Linked DNA regions of Xenopus tropicalis. The protein of the gene in region 1 purifies or fractionates together with the protein of each later gene. This does not show direct contact. Links are inferred from orthologs where the notes say so. Each region holds a gene or a part of one and is shown on either strand. Other genes may lie near its edges.

Region 1 (2,876 bases):
CACTGTTAGCAACTTTAGGTCCTGGACTCTGGGCCAATAATAGCGTCCGTGTGATAGAAAAGTGTTTACCGTAACTCCAAAATGTCTATTTGTTATATAACAGTTAATATTCTCCTCAATTCCAAAATCCCCTCTGGTTTGTCTTCTTGTCTCTCACAGGGTTTCCTGGTGGCTGTGCTCTATTGCTTTGCTAATAAAGAGGTAGGTTTCCCTTTCCAGTTGTCTGGCTTGGATGAAAAGCTCTTTGCAACACTCCTTCATTTTTGCCATATTATTTGCCATAACATTTTTTGCTTTTCAGGTGAAATCAGAGATTCACAAGAAATGGCGGCTTTGGCAGGCAGACAGGAAAGCTCTCGTCTGCCCACGATGACTGCAGTCCCAATCCAAGCTGCCGAGTCCAAGTACAACGCCGCAGTAAAGCAGGGTTCTCCAATGTCTGTGGCGCAGCACGGGGATGGTCTATATTGTATGTAGTGCCTGACACCAGAGGGACGCACAGGAGGAGCAGGGTTGCAATAAAAATGGAACTTGAACCAGTTTGTCTTTTGTTTTTTTTGTTTATTTTATTGTGAGGATAAAAATAGGTCTTTAAAATCTGCCACCTGCAGAGTATTAAATTCACTAATCCCATTTCTCATAAAAGCTTTAACCAATGTCACGTGGTTCCCCTTTAAAAGCCACAGGTACTTATTGCTTTAAATCATTAATCCCCTCTCCCTATGGGGAACCTGCATGTATAATCCTAATCTATGTCTTATTAAAAACCCTGCTCTCTCGTTGCTGATGGAAAGCATCTTAGAATATCGCTGAATCTGCAGATCTGTCTCCCAGTCCTCTGTGCCCTGTAATATCCTGAAGAGGGCGCTGTAAGCGAGAGGCGCCGCCACTGTGATCAACACGCTCCGACATCTTCGGGGTGGAAAAACTTCACCCGCCGTCTTAAGAACAATAGAGATGTGACTGAAAGATAAAGGGATCACAGTGAGCCTCAAACTGTCTGGAGTCCATAGGAGACTGGTACTTTGGAATGAGATGGGTTACAACCCTACCTTACGGATCATGGATCCGGCCATTTATGTCTCCCCTTGTCTGGCATTCGCAGCTTCTCCAGGTTTTCCTGTACTGCTCTTGTTGATTTCCCTGCAGATAAGGATTAAATGTGACATAAACCCAGAGAATGACAATTTCCTGAGCACTTCTGCAACTTTACATTTGTTTTAATAACGATAACAACAACAACAGCAGTTTTTACACTGCTAATATCATAAAAGTGCAACCAGTGCGCCACCTGCTGTTCTGTCCGGGTGTGGAACAGGCAGAATAGACTGCATGGAGCAGCTCTTGAAGGTTTCATACCCAGTTCTATTGCTTTCTATGACAGGAGAGACAGAACTAAAGAGGATGTAGTAAGTTAAAAAGCATGTATCGGAGGCAAAATTGTTTCCACCGCCATGGTATGTACTACTATCTCCTAAATAGAAAATTGCCATTTTGAGTAATAAGGCCGCCTTCTTGGATCATAGGATTCACAGTGCACACAAACAAGCCAAGGCACACATACATGCTAGGCCCCATCAGCCAATTAATGGGCAGAGTTCTGCCTTTTACTTCCACACTACTTCCTGTTACAGTTACATTTATTTCCTGTCATGTGATCTCTGAGGGAGCACACAGCCCATCACTAAATGGTGCCTCAGGGAAAAAGATGTAAAAGGGCAATATTTACAGATATATATATCCAGTTTGGCTTTAAGATGGCCAAATACAATCCAATAAAAACTGGTGACAGACAAAACTGGCAGCTTAGCGGCCCGTGTATAGGGCCCTACAACAAGCCAACAATATCTGGCAGAAAATTGGCGAGATGTTTACCAGGCAGGTCTGATTTTCCTGTTGGATGGAAGACAGGATCTGCGAGTTTATATGGTCCTTGATCTGATGGCTTGCATAGTGGCAATTATGAGCCAATCTTTTGGCCTTCAGTCCAAATGATCAGATCAGCCCAATATGTCCCCATCCTAAGGTGGCCATATAAGGGAAAAATCCGCTTGTATGGTCTTTATTGTCACAGTTTACTGATTATGAGAATGTGTGGGATGTCACGTGCACACTGAGCAAGCCCCTGCCTCTGGGAGGAAAAAAAATTCCCCTGGTAGGTGCCCTTTAAGCTTATGTATCTCTGTCCTGCCCTTGCCCAGTCTAAACACCAGAGGGTGCTAAAAAATGCTAATAGCATGAACAATTTAAGTAAACTTAAGAGTACTATTAAAGCAATTTTACATCAAAATATGTGAGTGGGTTATATGTCCCCTGTAAATATGCATGAACGGTCCGTTTCTATCATTTTAAGGCAATGGTATCTTACCTAATGTTGCAGCAATTTCTTCCAATGATGTGGAAAGTTCTACCATTGACATGGACTTCACAGAAGCCGTACTGATCCCTTCAAGGCCTGAACCAAAGCATAAGTGACTGATATATACTGTATATATAAAATAGGACAGACGGCCTTCACGCACATATATTTACAGACTCTGCACATATTGTATAGGCATAGGTCTAACATACATGCCTTGTGGCAGGCAGCTAGTTCTACACAGATGGCTGCTTGGCAATTACCTATTCTTATACACAGGCCCTGTGGCAGACTAGTGCCAAACATACAAATGTATGCAAACCTTGCGGCACTCAAAGGCTAATTATGAGGTATGAGCAGGCATTTAATGATGAGTTAAATATAATAATTAACAAGGGGATGCATGTGAGGAACATCCTATTTCACATTCTGTGGGGGTATTTATATGGTTATGCTGCTTGCTGTTTTCTGCACTATATGATATCCTACTACAGATATATGAAAGTGAAAGTTCCTT
Region 2 (3,760 bases), on another chromosome or scaffold:
GGATAGAGGAGTGGCGTCTCTGTTCCTAAGACCATCGAAAATATGTGTTTTCCAATGGTCTTAGGCGACCCTTGTGAAAGGGGTCCCAAACCACAGGTTGAGAACTGATGAACTAGAAATAGTGTCTGCTAATCTAGCACTTTAATATGCAAGTTTCTGAAGCAATATGGAGTTAAAGGGAAACTATGCCCCCCAGAATGAATATGTTATGTATATGTTAAGTGACCTATTAAAGAATCTTGCCAAACTGGAACATATATATATATATCAGTAAATATTGGCATTTTACATCCTTTCCCTTGATCCACCATTTAGTGATGGGCTGTGTGCTCCTTCAGAGATCACATGACCAGAAATAATGCAATAATGTTTGTGTGCACTGTGAATCCTATGATCCCAGGAGACGGCCCTTAATTCTTAAAGTGGCAATTTCCTATTTAGGAGTACCCAATGGCACATACTACTAAAGAAGTATATTTTTATGCAAATGGTTTATTTAAATGAAGCAGGGTTTTACATATGAGCTTGTTTATGCAATATATGTTTATAGAGATCTACATTGTTTGGGGGTATAGTTTCCCTTTAACTATAAACAAGGATTTCCAAAGCTAAATTGCCAGTTCCTGTAACCAACTGTCTGCATGGATTACACAAACTATTTAACATGTCAGAGGGAACAGTCTTAAAACTTCTCACAATATAAGCCAAACTGAATCAGAAGTGTTTGAAAGGTGCCCAATGAAGGAATTGGCAGATATACTGTAAAAAGTCCAATGGTTGTATATTGGCCAATGAAGGAGACCATTTTACACCCTATGCACTCTTTACTTGTGACATTTCCATTTTTCAACCATATATTGTTAGCTATTCTCTATTTATCCACCTCCTGTATTGAAGGAATGAAGAAGAATTCCAAACTGAAATTTGTTGCAAAAAAAAAAAATACAAAAAACCTTAAAGCAAGAAACACTGAGTAAAGTACAAAGTCCTTTCCAGATACAACTACTATAGAAGCACAGATACAGTTGGCATGTAACATCCAAGTATTTATTAATTCATGTCTGCAACAAAGGCTGAAGTATTATGCCTGTTTTGTGTGTTCAATGTACACTGAAATTTGCCCTTCTACACATATATAACGCAGAAAGTGTGAACTGAATGAACAATGTTTCTAGAATGCGGTTGCTTTCATAATATTTGCCCTAGATTGTGAATGCCTCTCAGTTCAGTGTGGCTGTGCAGATAAAGAGCTAAGTTTCACTTCGTTTTTGTACTTCTACTGGTTATGCAAGGTAGTATTATAACAGGTGTGGTGGAAAAGGGGGGGCATATGCCCAAGGTAAATATACATTCAAATAATTTCTACTCCGCTACTAATTTATCCATGGGAAGTTAAAAACCCATCTGAACAAGGTCTACTTTACAAAATCAATAACTCTTAAACATAAAATATTTATTACTGCCCAATACACTACCATTAAAACAAATTATATATATATACAAAAGCAAGAGTGGAGCACACCCTACAAAGGCTCAAATGCCTTGGGTCCTGGCAAAATGAGGAAATATAAGGACAGAGAGCCGCACGCAAAAGGACTTAGTGATTAGTGAAAAAATTTATTTGAAAAAAATCCAACGTTTCGAGTACTGACTGTACTCTTCTTCAGGGACAAACCAAAAAACCTACACACCCATGTCTATAACACACTTAGGGGCATATATATTATTGATCAAACCAGTGGCTCGAGGAGGTTTCTCAGTAGTTCGATCTATTTTAGAATTTGGTAAAAATTTCCAGAACGTCGAGTGTTTTTATTGACTTGACACATTTATCAATATCTGTGTCAGTCAAATTGTGTTTGACTGTTTTGGACTGTTTTTGAACAACATGCTGCAATATGGAGTAGTATCTCTGCTCAGCACCTGTTAGATACAAACTGCGCGCAGGCAGAATGGATTCGGACATTTATTTTGCTACAGACATACTTGCTCTTAAATGTGTAGTGAATATTATTTTTGACTGTATATATATATGTCAGTCAAAAGATGTAAGATTGAATTTCAAAAGCATACTTACAAGACTGCTTCTTAGGCGTAGACTTCTATTTAAGCTATGGTTAAATATAATGCAGACTGTTTTTGGTTTCATTTAGCATGTATCAGCCTTAATCACCGCAAAGGTCATTCCACTGCTAAAGGGGAAAAGATGCAGCCATTAATATAGATTTTGGAAATAAGAAAACAATAATTCTAAATAATTTCTAATCCTTTTATACCTTAGAGAAATAACTTTACTTGAAAGATGGATGCAATGCTCTGTGAGGCTATAATTTTATAGTTATTGTTACATTTTATTACTTCTATACAGACCCTCTTCTATTCCAGTCTATTATTGCAGAACTCTGGTTGCTAAGGTTATGTGGACCCTAGCAACCAGATACCTAATTCCAAACTGAAGAGTTGCTGAACAAAAACTAAAATAAAATAATAAAAAACAATTGCAAATTGTTTTAGAATATCATTCTCTACATCATATGTTAACTTAAAGGTGAACAACACCTTTAATGGAAAACTATACCCTCAGAATGAATACATAACCAACATAGTTTATATTATGTTAAGTGACCGATTAAAGAATCTCGCCAAATTGGAATATATATATCAGTAAATATTGCCTTTCTACATCCTTTCCCTTGATCCACCATTTAGTGAGGGGCTGTGTGCTCCCTCCGAGAACGCATTACCAGAAATAATGCAGCTCTAACTGTAACAGGAAGAAGTGTGGAAGCAAAAGGCAGAACTCTGTCCGTTAATTGGCTGATGGGGCCTAGCATGTATGGGTGCCTTGGCTTGTTTATGTGCACTGCAAATCCTATGATCCCAGGAGGTGGCCCTTAATTCTTAAAATGGCAATTTCCTATTTAGGAGTACCCAATAGCCCAAAAAAAAGTAAAAAAGTATATTTTTATAAAAATGGTTTATTTTGGGGTATAGTTCTCCTTTAAGGTTATTAAAAATGGCAGACAAGAATGTATCATCAGCCACTGAGCATAAGAAATTGTTTAAAAGTACTTAGATACAATGGTTTTATCCACTGAAGTAGAATTAAAGAGAGTTTCTGTTCCCATGTGGATTATATTTTATCCGGCCTGCTAGTGGCCTGTTTGCCTAACCAGAGATTACTTTGTGTAGTGGGTTAAAAAAGTTTAATCCCAGTGAGTTCAAAAATTACTTTCCCTGTGTGCCAGAGCCCTAAAGGGGATAGTGGGTTGTAAAGTTTCTAAAGAAGCAGAGCAAATTTAAAAGTAGCCATTATAACATAAATAAAGAGTAAGTAGACCTTTTTTTTAAATCTCTAATATGACTCTTTACAGCCCCCAGAATAACATACCTTTCTCTCTGCACTCAGTCTCATGCAGATTCTGTACCACAAGCAGCTGGACTGCAGCCCACTCTGCTACTTCCTAGTCTAGTGTGAAGCTCCACCCCATTTTCTTTGCAGAGTTCTCCTTCTCTCTCTGATTGTGAAGATGGTCGAAGAGGTGTCAGAGAGAAAAGAAAAGTTCAGCAAATGGGGGGGGGGGGGGGGGGGTAGGGTGTGGAGCTTCACACTAGACTCTCAGTGGTTTTATGAAATTCTGATGATTTTCATCCTAATGTTTTTATTGTTACTGATTATTGCATTTTCCTTACAGGGACAACTGGAATATTACAAATAGGACTTGGATGGACATTATGTTTTTCTTTGCTGCAGCATTTA

What was found.
Region 2: the proteins of anks3 (region 1) and nek7 purify together in Homo sapiens (affinity purification with mass spectrometry; 3 studies listed by BioGRID and IntAct, with this or other methods). This does not show direct contact. The link is inferred for Xenopus tropicalis from reciprocal best matches to the Homo sapiens genes ANKS3 and NEK7.

What each region holds. Positions count from the first base shown.
Region 1 is NC_030685.2:20,812,149-20,815,024, forward strand, and holds the end of anks3 (ankyrin repeat and SAM domain-containing protein 3), read right to left. Parts: intron 2,456-2,876; coding exon 2,369-2,455; intron 1,144-2,368; coding exon 1,061-1,143; 3' UTR 1,053-1,060; intron 964-1,052; 3' UTR 545-963; downstream 1-544. Other genes in the region: glucagon receptor, read left to right, coding at 160-201, 302-373. UniProt on the Homo sapiens protein: May be involved in vasopressin signaling in the kidney.
Region 2 is NC_030680.2:111,188,274-111,192,033, reverse strand, and holds the start of nek7 (serine/threonine-protein kinase Nek7), read right to left. Parts: upstream 2,166-3,760; 5' UTR 2,078-2,165; intron 1-2,077. UniProt on the Homo sapiens protein: Protein kinase which plays an important role in mitotic cell cycle progression. Required for microtubule nucleation activity of the centrosome, robust mitotic spindle formation and cytokinesis.